Linked DNA regions of Mytilus edulis. The protein of the gene in region 1 interacts with the protein of each later gene in a pairwise test. Links are inferred from orthologs where the notes say so. Each region holds a gene or a part of one and is shown on either strand. Other genes may lie near its edges.

Region 1 (8,105 bases):
TCGCGATTACATACCCTCTGGGCGTACTGTATATATGAAATGGACCCTTCCAAGACACAATGTCAGTACTGTATATGGAGGTAACACAAGATAACCACAAACAATTTGGAACTTTCTTGTTACACATGTTATAATCATGATAATTACATACATCATGTACATGAAGGTTGTTTTTTTGTCTATTTGGACATCAAAAGCGAAACCAAATTCCCAGTCTTTCATATTGGAAGTGCTACTGGTACATTGTACTTCCTGGATGGTATACTGTTCCGAGTGCGAGAATTTCTTGTTGCATTGAAGACCTGTTGGTGACCTTCTGCTGTTGTCTGCTCTATGGTCGGGTACTTATAAAGTGAGAAACGGAATCGAAACGAAACAAAACGAAATATAACGAAACGAAACGAAATACAACGAAACGCAACGAAATACAACGAAACGAAACGAAACGAAATGTAAAAATGAAGAAACGAAACCCTCTTCAAAAGCATCAAATATATTGCCCCTCCCCAGCCCTTTTAGTTCAAAAGAAATTTTCCTCAATCATAATACAAATACTTCAAAATAAAACTATTATATAGAAAAGATATTTTCAAATTCAATTATACAAATGTCATGTATAAAGAAGTCTTTTCAACGACCCTGTAATTGGGCAGGTCCATGATTTCAATACGGGTGGTGTAAAAGGGATTGAATTTGCCGTGCAGAAAGAGTCACGAACACAAAACTTTAAATGGTGACGCCCCTCACAAGAAAAAATGATCTCCCCTTTCTCAAGTTTCTCGGATTTACCGAGTTTAATAATGCTATGTAAGTACTTATATTCGAAAAAAAATATTAGGATAGGAACTTGTTTTTCCCCAATAGTACCGACCGTGCAAGGGCTTTATAGCCAGTCAAGGTCGTTAAAAACTCCCGTAGTACCCAATAGTTCTCCGTTTCTGATATAAAGGCCAAAAGATTTTTTTCAACGGCTTTTTATAATATAGTTCGTTCCTATATTGGACGGTCTTCAACAATGAGCAAAGCCCGTACCGCGTAGTCAGCTATAAAATGCCCCGAAATGACAAATGTAAAACCATTCAAACGAGAAAACTAACGGCCTAATTAATGTACAAAAAATTAACGAAAAAAAAAAACAAATATGTAACACAGCAACAAACGGCAACCACTGAATTACAGGCTCCTGACTTGGGACAGGCACATACATATACACATACATGCATACTGTGGCGGGGTAAACATGTATTGAAATATTTTGCCATTATGGTCTATAAAGATATCAGATATCAGCTGGTTAGCTACTAAAAATTGCAATGACTCAACATCAAAATGTTTTTAAGTTCTGTTTCCTTAACTACTAACACTGTCGAAATAAATTTTAAAATGTACATGTATAAGGGTACTTACATTTTCTTTTCCTTCTCATTGGGCTCCATTTTGCGTAATAACGGTTGAATAAAAAATATTCCTTTTATATATACCTGGCTGGAGCCCGTGCAACATCTGGTGCTGAATGCGTTTTAGAAAACTTCAAAGACCTTTGATTTTTTTTCTCACGCTCACAACTTACCCATATATAAACTCAGGCATGATAAAGGGAGCCGACAGGATGAAAGACAATGCCTTTAAAAAGTATTTTTGGAACATCAAAGTGTTATATTGTACGTCAGAACGGGTAGCACGTCCACACGGGGTTGTAGAAAAGTATGCAGTCTTTCAATAAACAATAAATTAATTTACAATCCTCAATTAAGAGATCAAAGGAGTTTTTCTTTTCATCTTACATACTGTTTTAGCGTGGTTGTAACAATGATAACTACATCAACAGCACCACACAATTGCATAACATAAGGGTCAGATTCATTTCGTTGTATTTCGTTTCTTCATTTTTTCATTTCGTTTCGTTTCGTTATATTTCGTTTTGTTTCGTTGTATTTCGTTGCGTTTCGTTGTAATTCGTTTCGTTTCGTTATATTTCGTTTCGTTTCGTTTCGATTCCGTTTCTCACTTTATAAGTACCCTCTATGGTCGGGTTGTTGTCTCTTTGGCACATTCCCCATTTCCATTCTCAATTTTATGTTATTTGCTCGTCCAAATTAATATGACATCTTGAAAGGTTATCATATTTTTTGGCTGTTACATATATGGGCTATTTCAAAAAAAATGATGCCAAAGTGTGACAAACATGGTAAAAAATTAAGTCATTGCTAATCTTTTTTCTATCATTTTTCTTTAATCCAGAGACATTCAAGTTTACAAAACTACCAAGGGTTAATGCAAAATAATAAAAACAAAAATTTTAACAACATTTTACTCATAAGAATTCATCCACTTTTCAAAGGAAACAACATAATAATAATATCAACTGACAAACATAAATAAGAATCTAAATATCAATGTAATTTTTTTGTTTGTTGCAATAAAGGTTCTAAATGATTTTCCTGCAATTTTTTTTTACTTATAAACAGTTTTTTTTTTTTAAATATGTAAATTTCACCAATTTTTAGTGTATTCTTTAATATCTTATTTCAAAAGTTTTTATATCTCTTTGCAAAAGCTTTAATTTTATATAAAAAGTATAAGGAAGCAAACATATATGATCTAATTACATCCTCTGAAAATTTCACAACAATTGCTTCAGTCAATTCTAAGTTTTCTTCATTTAAAAAATACAAACATGTGTTTGTTATCCTTTTGTTACACTCCTGACATATTTTTTCAGTAACTGTAAGACTGTTTTTTAATGGAATGTTTAGAAAATCAGTAATGATATCTATTTTAAATTTACAATCTCACAAATAAATAAATTTATTAGATATTTGATTACATATTTTTTTAATTTCTGAGCAAAGAGCAAACTTTTAACATGTTTAATGAGAATTACACTTTAATTTTTAAGAATCTTTGGTGAATAGTGTGCAGAAAAATCACTTTTACAAGACAGATCAGCTTTCTCATAACATTGTAAAGATGTTACAATTATTTTAATAAAGAATCATGTTGAATTTTGTTATAGATAAGCTACATCAGAAACTTGTCAGGAGTGTAACAAATGTTACACTCCTGACCATAATTTATTTCTACCATATTTTAACCTGAAACTGACCTGAAATCATGTAGAGTCTTTATATTTCACATATTATTTTAGTGCAAATTAAGAACAGGTTAAAGAAAATTATATACTTCTTACATATTTACAAATTTTGCTAATTGTCTATTTAAAAAAAAAGATGGCTTTCCTTTAAACCTTGTTCAGTCTCTTGTTTGATACTATATATATGCTGTTTTTATGTCAGATAATGTATTATGATAAGTTTGTTCGTTCTTCCAAAGATGGTAGCAGTATGTGCTCTGTATATTAAAAATTGTCCAAAAATGTACCCAAAAATGTCAGGAGTGTAACGCTTTAAAATGTTTAAGTGTAACATTCATGTTATTTTTTATAGAAACAATGTTGTTATTATTGGTTTTCCTTTCTGGAATTTGAGTGTGAACACCATCTGTTGCATATTTTCAGTAACAAACATGCCATTATTATGGCCTTTATTGCTTGTTTATGCTCAATACTTGTATGTCAGGACTGTAACACACTTAAACAAGCTAGTTCAATTGCAATTTTAGTTCAAAAATTTCAAAAGTAATGATGTAGACTTGTATTCTGTGTTAAGCTGAGGTGTAGTAATGTCATTTTATAATAATTGTCAGCTTGTTTTTCTTCCAATAACTTACCTTTGCTAATAAGATTGAAATAAGGCATTTTTTTGTGTTACACTCCTGACATTGAAGTATTGAGCATACAAAAGCAATGAAGGTCATAATAATGGCATGTTTGTTACTGATAAACTGTAACAGGTAATGTTCACTGAAAAACAAGAAAAAACAACAACTATAACAACATTGTTTCTAAAAAAAATACATCTTAACCCAGTTGTTACACTCCTGACAGACCTGGGTAGTCCTCTTATTGTAACCATAATATTCCAGTAGTAGAACTTCAGGGTCAACTGGATGCACCTGTGCCAAGCTATGATACTTACCTAAAAGAATAAACCGTGCAAGATGTACAGAAACATGTTATTTCACCTACAAAGACATTTTCTGGCAGCATATTGACTTTTACTAACATTTTTTTTTAAACACAAACTTATTTGACTTACCTTATGAGGCACATAAAAATGTAAATATATGGAAGAATTAAACAAGAAATCATAGTAAAGATATAATAGTTGGATGAAAGATATTGTTTGGTATTGTATCTGCCCTTATTTATTCTATATCATCAATGAATGCACATGCTTTCTTCTAAATGTCACACTAAAAGCGTTACACTCCTGACATTTTGAGGTACAATTTTGGACAATATTTTTTAAACAGAGCACATACTGCTATTATCTTTGGTAGTTAGGACCAACTAATCATAATACATTATCTGACCTAAAAACATTACAGATATAGTATCATACAAGAGACTGACAAAGGTTTAAAGGAAAGGCATCATTTTTTTTGAAATAGCCCATATATGTATATCCTAGCTAACTCTAAAGATTATATTTAGAGGGGGGATAAGAACACCCCCCCCCCCCCCCCTCCCCCCAAATAAGACCCCCTTACACATATTTTTTACTCAATGTTTACTACAAACTTTAGAAATGTGTTACTATTTTGAAAACTTACACTTGGAACTATAAGATCCAAGAACAAATGGAAGGGAACAAAAAGCCAAATACCAGAACATTGTGTATGTCTATACTAAGATGTATGTCACTATGTTCTATATTTATAAAAGAGGGTCTTGCCGGAACTTAATCTAAAATTATGATGTCATATACAAATTATGTATTGCAGCACCGGAGACGTTTTTTTATCGAAAATATATAACTTTTTTGATAAATTTAGTCAAGTGAGGTAACGAAAAAGCAAGTATTAAATTACTGCTAATAACACTTATCCTTGAATCATACACAACTAGAAATTTTATTTCGAAAATTTGCTGAAACAAGGATTAATTATTTTTCATTAATTTAGCTTTTAAACCAAGGGGAGATAACACATAACTGTCACGTCAGGCGATCGGCGATCACACCAGTGACAATGTCTGTCCACGATTCATTAACTCTGTATGTATTTGTTAGTCGTTAAAGAAAACGAATGTCAACCTATGCATTAATTGTAAAATATCATAGAGCTCATAAAAACCGGGAAAATTGCTTTTCGAAAATACAGTCAATAAGTCATGATCTTCAGACAAGTCAAGTCGGCATCAAACCGTCATGACTGTCATTCAGAGGTATCCGGTCGTTCCGGTCCCAAACCGATTCGGCCCCAAGTCGATCCGGCCCACGTCGATCCGGTCCCATGTCGATCCGGCCCCTTAATAAAATATGAATAAACTATATTGTTTTTGGAGGAATTTGTGACAAATTTTAATAGTATAAATTTTTAAATGGAATTTGATTTTTATTTTATTTAGATCACACACAGAATAGCTAAATAAATATTTACAGTCCAATGGAACCTTTAAAATTTCACATCATAATGACTTCAAATCATTAGTCTATAAAATTGAGAATGGAAATGGGGAATGTGTCAAAGAGACAACAACCCGACCAAATAAAAAACAACAGCAGAGGGTCACCAACAGGTCTTCAATGTAGCGAGAAATTCCTGCACCCGGAGGTGTCCTTCAGCTGGCCCCTAAACAAATATACTAGTCTAGTGATAATGAACGCCATACTAATTTCCAAATTGTACACAAGAAACTAAAATTAAAATAATACAAGACTAACAAAGGCCAGAGGCTCCTGACTTGGGACAGGCGCAAAAATGCGGCGGGGTTAAACATGTTTGTGAGATCTCAACCCTTCCCCTATACCTCTAACCAATGTAGAAAAGTAAACGTATAACAATACGCACATTAAAATTCAGTTCAAGAGAAGTCCGAGTCTGATGTCAGAAGATGTAACCAAAGACAATAAACAAAATGACAATAATACATAAATAACAACAGACTACTAGCAGTTAACTGACATGCCAGCTCCAGACTTTAATTAAACTGACTGAAAGATTATGATTTCATCATATGAACATCAGGCACAATCCTTCCCGTTAGGGGTTTAGTATCATACCATCATAACATATATGAGAAGAACATAACCCGTGTCATGCCAACAACTGTTTTTAGAATAAATGTGTTTAGTTCCGATGCAAAGACCTTATCAGTGACTCAATATTAACGCCAACATATGCAATCTTTAATGACTTGACAACAGTATCGTAATTATATCCCTTCTTAATAAGTCTATTCAAAGGTTTTGTAAGTTTCTGAGGTGAATACTGACACCTTTGTGCTTTATAAAGAATATTACCATAAAAAATTGGATGTGAAATACCTGAACGTATTAGAAGTCTGCATGTTGAGCTATATTTACGAATGATGTCTTTATACCGATGATAAAATTTAGTAAATGTTTTGACTAGTTTGTGATATCGAAAACCCTGGTGTAATAATTTTTCAGTAATACATAAATTTCTCTCATTAAAATCTAAAACATTGTTACATACACGAGCGAATCGTACAAGTTGAGATATAAAAACACCGTAAGATGGTGACAAGGGAACGTCACCATCTAAAAACGGATAATTAACGATAGGAAATGAAAAATCATCCCTTTTATCATAAATTTTAGTATTCAGCTTTCCATTAGTGATATAGATATCAAGATCATGAAGATCGAGAAAAGGGCTGTGGTCATTGTTAGTATTAGCTTTATTTAAAGTAAGTTCAACAGGATAAATTTCATTAATATACATACTGAAGTCGTCATTATTGAGAGCCAAAATATCATCCAAATATCTAAAAGTATTATTAAATTTGTTTATCAGATGTTGTTTCGATGGGTCTATAACTGGTTTGTTTATTCAACAACTGTCTGATGATTGTGAACTAAGGTGATGCCACTCGTAATCACTTAATTCAATCAAATCCTGATTAATTAAAGTTACGTAATCAACAAGGTCTTTATAGTTTGATCTTTTGTTTGGTGTATATAATAATAATTAATTGTATTTTTTTTTTTCATTTAACATCAGAGGCTTCTATAACACTTGGGTTTTTTTTTGTTTTTTTTTGTACTGTGGAATATATCTGGCAATATATATTTTTCTGCAAGTTGACAATATTTTGAATAGTTGTGGGTAGATAAAAAAAAACATGTTATATGAGTATCCATTAGGTCCGAGACCACAATTATTTCGTAGTGCATTTCTTTTACAACATAAATGAAAATTTAAAAAATCCCACCTGCGCTTTCTCAAAGAAACTTTTACAGTGTGTTGTACTACTTTTGGGACAAATTATATCAAAATTATAGAAAACTTCATCGCCTCTAACTCAAAATATGGACAATTTTATCTTTAGGGCGTCTTGAAATGATCTTTTGACAGCTTCCGAAGTGCTATTTTTCAACCTTTTTCACCTGGACCAAATCACTACTTTCCTTTAAAATTCTGGACCCAAATTTGTTCATGTTGTTTACAGTGTAATTTCACCCCCCTACTTGCAATATGAGGCATTAAAACATGGAGAAATAAATTTGGAAGGGGTATAAACATGATAAAAATTAATGGCAAGTAACCCACTGTCAACACTAGGGACTATATTTGTGAACAACGAAAATCAAGGGACGACAATTGTGGTCTCGGACCATTATTCTTTATTGCAAGAAAAGGTTTCAAATTGTTGGGGTTATTCATCGTTTCTGTCAATTTTTGGATAAACATCAAAATTAAACTATGACTCATGGTTCTGTATTAGTCAATCACATAATTGTTTATAATGTAAGGTATAATAATCTACATTGAAACTTAAATAAAATTTAAAAGTCTAGTGGTTAAGACCGATGGCTACAGTACTGAAGGTCCCGAGTTCGATTCTCACTCGAGATGTGGAATTTTCAGTACATCACAAGGCCGTAACTACCATTGAGGCAAGTGAGGCAATTGCCTCACTAAAATTTCGACACTAAAATATTTTTTTGTATATGTGTTTATTTGTTTATGGTAATTAAATTCGGAACATAGTCTAGTCTTCTGTTGTTCTGTCTCAA
Region 2 (7,460 bases), about 53 Mb from region 1:
GGTCTAGCACACCGGATACAGTGCAGGCGATTTGGTGTCACGATATCTCTATAGCATGGGTTTCGAATCCCGGCGAGGAAAGAACAAAGAAAAATTTGCGAAAGCAAATTTACAGATCTAACATTGTTGGGTTGATGTTTAGATGAGTTGTATATACATAATGTACACAGCCATGTATCACCATCATTGCTGGTGATCTGATGGATAAATCTATTGTAGAGTTGTCACTGACTCAGACGTACTTATATATATATATACAAGTCTAAATTGAAAACTACGTTCAAACCTATGATTGCGTTGGATAAAAACCACAATTTTTATACATGTGCATGTAAAACAAATTTCGTTGTAGAAGGGTCTAAATACAGCACAAACAACATTTTCCAAAAGACCAAACTAGAGGCTCTCAAGAGCCTGTGTCGCTCACCTTGGTCTTTGTGCATATTAAACAATGGACACAGATAAATTCACGACAAAATTGTGTTTTGGTGATGGTGACGTGTATGTAGATCTTACTGTACTGAACATTCTTGTTGCTACAATTATCTCTATTTATACTGATCTTGGCCCAGTAGTTACAGTGGAAAATATTTTTTTTAAATTTACCAAAATTATGAAAAATGTTAAAAATTGACTATAAAGGGCAATAACTCCTTAAGGGGTCAATTGAAAATTTTGGTCATGTTGTCTTACTTGTAGATCTTATTTTGCTGAACATTATTGCTGTTTACAGTTTATCTCTATATAAATATATAAATATTCAAGATAATAACCAAAAACGGCAAAATTTCCTTAAAATTACCAATTCAGGCATGTCAGGGGCAGCAACCCAACAAAGGGTTCATCTGAAAATTTCATGGCAGATAGATCTTTACCTGATAAACAATTTTAACCATTGTCAGATTTGCTCTAAATGCTTTGGTTTTTGAGTTTTAAGCCAAAAACTGCATTTTACACCTATGTTCTATTTTTAACCATGGCAGCCATCTTGGTTGATTGGCCGGGTCACCGGACACATTTTTAAACTAAATACCCTAATGATGATTGTGGCCAAGTTTGGAATAATTTGGCCCAGTAGTTTCAGCGGAAAAGATTTTTGTAAAAGATTACTAAGTTTTACGAAAAATGGTTAAAAATTGACTACAAAGGGCAATAACTCCTAAAGGGGTCAACTGGCCATGTTGATCATGTTGACTTATATATAAATCTTACTTTGCTGAACATTATTGCTGTTTACAGTTTATCTCTATCTATAATAGTATTCAAGATAATAACCAAAAACAGCAAAATTTCCTTAAAATTACAAATTCAGAGGCAGCAACCCAACAACAGTTTGTCTGATTCATCTGAAAATTTCAGGGCAGATAGATCTTGCTTGACCAGATAAACATTATACCCCCATGTCAGATTTGCTCTAAATGCTTTGGTTTTTCAGTTATAAGCCAAAAACTGCATTTTACCCCTATGTTCTATTTTTAGCCATGGCGGCCATCTTGGTTGGTTAGGCCAGGTGAGCTAAAAAGTGAAAAAGTATATTTAAACAAAACGCATTTGACTAACAGGTCGAACAACTGATGTTCTTTAACCCTGCTGACTGCCATTGGCGATTGCCAAATAAAATTGATCACGAGATGTACATGATGTAACAAAATGGATCTTAATAATATAAATTTAATACTAAACTGAAAACAATAAACTTGTGGCCAAGATGTTGTGCCACAAACACAAGGTGTCAATATTTTTTTTGTACACCAGATCTAGATTTCGATAATATATGTCTCTTCAGTGATGTTAGGGATCAAAACGGTATTTGGAAGGTCATATAATTTACCCTCAATTTTAGATAGACTCTTGAATTTTAAGAGTCAATATAGGAAGAACGGATCATATAAACCGGAGGGAAAATATGATACAAGCCCAAACGAAAAAATATAAACGTTGGATAAAAACCGCATTTTTTATGCGTGTGCATGTAAAACAAATTTCGTTGTCGAAGGGTCTAAATACAGCACAAACAACATTTTCCAAAAGACCAAAAAAGTGAAAAAGTATATATATATATATATATATATATATTATATATGTAAAATTTGTAAGTAAAATAAAGAGTTGTGTCAGAGTTGTCAAGGTCTTTTCATAATTTTTTCCACATTATAGAAATTCAAATCTCAGGGTATATTCAATTGTAGCCATAAAATAAAAAAATAAAACATCTTTATAGACTGTACTAAAAAAGCTTTATTTATATTTTTTCTGTAATTATTGCACGAGTTGTATCTTTCTCAGATTTGTTTTATTCCAATCTGTGTGGCTTCTTTATCAATGGGCATATCAGTGTTTCATAGATTTCAAAACCTTCTATTTACTCGCTAGTAATAACTACCAACTGAATTCTGTTTTAAATATTTTGCATAACAGGGGAGATAACTTTCCTGTAAAATCTTTTTGCAGTGGATTTAGAGTTTTTGATAACTTATGATTTTATCTTTCTCATAACTTACTCTGTATTTGTTAAGAATATAGGAGTTATTGTGATCAAATGTGCTTTTAAAAACTTATAGAAGAGCTTAGAACCAGAAGTGCCTCTGGTATATTTTAAAGAATATAAAATAAAGTGTTCAACACTTGCACAAATATTATAAGTTACTTTGTTTTGTCAATCATCAAGAATAAAAAAAATCTTTGTAATTATACTACTGAGGGGCCTGATGGTCTCTGTAAAGCAAAATATTGTCCTATGAAATATTGTACCACAAGACAATATTTCACGACTATGTATCATGAAATATTGTCCTCTCCATAGAAAAAATGTCCTGAGAAGGAAATTGTGTCTGTATATAAACAATATTTCACAGATGAATACTTTGGAATTTTGTCTTGTTAAAGGGAGGTTATATTTTGTGTGAATTAAGACAATATTTCATAGATGAATACTATGAAATTGTGTTCTGTTAAAGGGAGGTTATATTTTGGTTATATTTCGTGAGTATTGAGACAATATTTCATAAACAGATTGTCATGGAATTTTGTCTCATGAAGGGGAGGTTATCAACATATATTCATGTATATAGGATTTTTTTCTGCAACATCTGCATGTGCCTGTGTATATATTTACAAAATAAGCAATTGTCAGTACATTACTTATATTTGTACAGTATAATGTAATAAAATGAAACCTACTTTAGACAATTGTTTAATCTATAATAAACCATTTGTAATCATGGTAATGTTTCAATGCAAATTTGAAACTCACTATTAGTCAGTTAGTAATAATATAAATTCTCTACTATATGTTGTTGTTGTTGTTGTTATACAAAACAATTTCAGTTATAAATCTAAAAATGTGCATGCTGCATGCTTGTGTACTGATTCTAATTGTGAAATAATTTGATTAAAAAATGTTTTCAAAGCCAGTATTTCATAGTGAACAGGTGAAGTATTGTCATGAACAGAATTTCATAGTGGAATATTGTCCAGAAGGAGGTGACAAAATTTCATGGACAAGGACACTATTTCATTATGAAATACTGTCAGACAATATTTTATATGAAAATTTGTCCGACAGACAATATTTCATGGAGGACAATATTTTATGTTACATCTCATCACCATTCTCAGAAAATAAATTTCCATCATCATGTATCACGAAAATATATTAAAAAAAATCTGTAGAAAAACTGATCATGATAGCAAAAATGCACCTATCACTAAGAATGACAATGACCCATCAGGCCCCTCACTACTCCTTGTGGTATATTATGTTGATAATAACATGATTTACTTTCATTTCTGATTTTCATTGTACACACTGCTCTCTTTTTATATATCTCAAAGACTTAACCTGACAACATGTACCTATTATAAACATGACATGATCCAGATTTCACATTTTAAGTTTATTTTAAAACAATATTCAAACAAACCTTGATTTTATACAACTTGATGTCTCTTTGCCTTTTCTTCTATCTTTAGGGCAGTATTTTGTTTCTACTTCATCTAACAAATCATCTATATCATCAGCCATTTTATATTTTAGAAATTAAAATAAGATGAACAAGAAAAATGTGCTACTTAGCTGTCACTACCAAACATTTTTCTCTGTACTTCCTGTGCTTACTGATTTAAATTGCTTTTGCTACTTTTTACCTTCAAAGAATTAAAAAAAGGTAACAGATAATATAAGGGTGAACTTGATTTACAAACATATGATTTTTTTTATCTGGAATCGACCTGTTGTCACAACTTTTTAAATCCACTTGAGTTTTTAAATTGTAATATTTTCATTTATACAAACTGTTTAATAGTAATATTTTTTCAGAAATAAAGCATAAAGGAATTGAATAATTCATTGGATTATTAATTTATTTATTCTGGTTGTAAATTCGTTTTGTTCGTAATTTTTGTATATTTTACAAATGAGTAATGAGCGCATGCGTATACCACGAAACCAGTCTGGCAGATGTGACTTTTATATTTCATTGCATATATTTGTTTAATTCTGCACCTTAAAGTCAAATCGTTATGGCAAAGCAAGTGCTGAGATTAGACCCAGACATTGAACTCAAATTTAAAGGTAATCGCTCAACAGTTCGCTGACTTCATAATGAAAATACAATTGTATGACCCAATAACCGGCCGATGTGGCGATACCACCCTATCCAATACAACTAATTTAATAGTTTTATTAACTTAATACCAATCTAAAGCAATTAATATCTAACGCGTTCTCGATATATAAAAATTATCTTGAAAATGATTGTGTTCTTAAAATATATCTCAACCTCATGACCATGTCAACAACTTATTTTTATTAACAAAATAAGAAAGTTCAGATAGAACAAACCTTAACACTATTTGGAAATCTGTCCCGCATTCAACTATTACTTTTCCATCGTAGCTCCTGATATTTTCTATCATAACATCAAAATTTATTGGAACTTTAATTTTGTGATGTCTAGTAGTGGCAGTCAAATAGCAATAAAAGAGGGACGAAAGATACCAGTGGGACAGTCAAACTCATAAATCCAAAATAAACTGACAACGCCATGGCTAAAAATGAAGAAAGACTATTAGAAAAACAATAGTACACATGACACAACATAGAAAACTAAAGAATAAGCAACACAAACCCGTAAAGTGTACAACAACTGTTTATCCTTATTTTCACTGTGGTGTGTCCTTTTACTAAATTTTGTGAGAATCTGTATGCTGATTGAAACTGTTTCAAAACATTAACATTTTTCACCTCTAGGCTCTTTTTCTTAAACCTAAATCATCTTAATACAGCCTTGTCTCATGCCAGGGTTTTCATGCTATTAAGAATGCAATGTTACATCACGATTTCAATTGAAAAATATGCAAAGTGCGAATTAATATGTCATATGAAAATACATGATCTGACCATACTGCCATTTTCCAAACAGCTGACAATAACATGAACAAGCTTAAGGGAGAAGGAAATTTCAGGGAACTGATAATATTTGGCCAGTTATGAGAAGACAAGAAGGTGACTCTTCACTATATTAAATCATCTACTAGTCATGCTGGTGTATTCTGCAGGAGTCTCTCTTGACACTGGGTGGTTGTTTGAATGTAATTTAAAATTACCAAGTTTAAATATTAATTTTCCCATATACTTTACTCATTTAAAATAATAGGTTGCAACTGTACATAAAATGCCGATAGTAATGTCACATGAAGTTTACGATAGAAGTAAGGATACCATTACAGGTTCAAACAGAAAAAAAATAAAATCAGAGAAAACTACACTTTATAAGCTGTATGACTTTATCATGTTTATCAGATGACAATATGAATACTAAAAATTAAGCGTAGGTACTTTAAATCAGTCAGGGATTCACTTTGTCACAGGTGTGTTCTAGATCTATCAAAAATATGCAACACCATGTACATCATCACTTTCTTAATGTACATATATCTCAAAATATTAATACATGATTTATACATTTATTATATTTTCCGATTAATGAAAATAAAAAATATTCTGACTGGATTACCCAATAATTTTATGGCAAGAGACCCTATTACTACTTTTTTGCAAAGTAAAACTTTCATGACTGTAAACTGCATTAATGATTGTTAATAAAAAATAATTTGCTCATTGAAAAGTTCAACATTATAAATTACACTTGAACACACATACATAAAGTTTTCATTATCTCTTTTTTCAACCCATTTCTTTTATTGTAGGACCATTCACAGATGTTGTAACATCAGAATTGAAGTTGACCAACCCCTCAGACCAGAAAGTATGTTTCAAAGTAAAAACCACAGCACCAAAGAGGTACTGTGTCAGACCAAACAGTGGCATCATCGATCCAAACCAAAGTGTTAATGTATCGGGTAAGAGCTACATATACCCTAAACAATCTGAACTGTGGTGCTAATCATATTAACTTTATATTACAGTCATGACAGTTGCTGTATTTATGTACCTTTACAATGCATATGATTTGAATATGAAGTTGATTGTGATTTGTATGGAGAGTTGTCTCATTGGCATTTGGCACTCATACCACATTATGATCTTCTTGTTTACATGTATAATGTATATATATAATATGGACTACACTAAACAATAACAGGATTTCTACAATCTAATCTTGTCCTAAAAAGTATGTACGCCATACCTGCCAACTGTCACTATTTGCGGGGGATTTCCCCCATGGAGGCTCCCAAATGGAAATTTTGAAAGAGCAATTTTGTCCACAATTTTAAACAAAACAATTAATTTTACAATGACTTTAGGCTTATAAAAGTATGAAGAAGCCAAAAAAACAACATTAAAATGTATCTGAAAGCCCCCTTGAAGGTTTTTTAGGACTATAACAGCCATCTTGCATGCAAAACCCCCATGGGCATTTTGAAAAGTTGGCAGGTATGATGTACGCTGATATTGTGGACATTCATTCTACATGTTCTATTAAATTATTCTCTGTGAATAAGCAAATTTAAAATGCATGGGATTTTTTTTGAATCTATGCAATATTTGAATAATCATTAAAATGAGATTCTCAAAATATGGACTAAATTGTGAAGAAGGGTAACATTTAACAACATGTTTGTAATTGAAGTATTTTGTACTTAATAACTTTGATATATTTCAGTAATGCTGCAACCTTTTGACTATGATCCATTGGAAAAAAATAAACACAAGTTTATGGTTCAGACTATGTTTGCTCCAGATGGCCCAATTGAAAGCCAGGAACAATTGGTATGTTTTGAGTTTGTACTCGTCCTAACAGAAATAGGAGGCTGATTATATATTTAAAAATTCAGTACTAGCATCATTATCACTAGTTTCTACAAACAAAACTAATTTGAAGATCTATATTGTTACCGTTACAGTAAAAAAAGACTGAGAATTTTAACATCAGAAATATCACCAGCAGCTGTATTTTGTTGCCAGATGAAATAAAAAACCAAAATGCAACCTTGAT

Evidence for each region. The genes of interacting proteins can lie anywhere in the genome.
Region 2: the proteins of phosphatidylinositol-3-phosphatase SAC1-like (region 1) and vesicle-associated membrane protein-associated protein A-like interact in a two-hybrid assay, tested with the Drosophila melanogaster proteins (2 studies listed by BioGRID). The link is inferred for Mytilus edulis from reciprocal best matches to the Drosophila melanogaster genes Sac1 and Vap33.

What each region holds. Positions count from the first base shown.
Region 1 is NC_092348.1:14,407,203-14,415,307, reverse strand, and holds the start of phosphatidylinositol-3-phosphatase SAC1-like, read left to right. Parts: upstream 1-5,036; 5' UTR 5,037-5,091; coding exon 5,092-5,117; intron 5,118-8,105. Other genes in the region: uncharacterized protein, read right to left, coding at 4,675-4,735. UniProt on the Drosophila melanogaster protein: Phosphoinositide phosphatase which catalyzes the hydrolysis of phosphatidylinositol 3-phosphate (PtdIns(3)P) and phosphatidylinositol 4-phosphate (PtdIns(4)P). Has low activity towards phosphatidylinositol-3,5-bisphosphate (PtdIns(3,5)P2).
Region 2 is NC_092348.1:66,991,207-66,998,666, forward strand, and holds the start of vesicle-associated membrane protein-associated protein A-like, read left to right. Parts: upstream 1-4,407; 5' UTR 4,408-4,521; coding exon 4,522-4,573; intron 4,574-6,210; coding exon 6,211-6,363; intron 6,364-7,127; coding exon 7,128-7,234; intron 7,235-7,460. Other genes in the region: cilia- and flagella-associated protein 418-like, read right to left, coding at 3,924-4,024.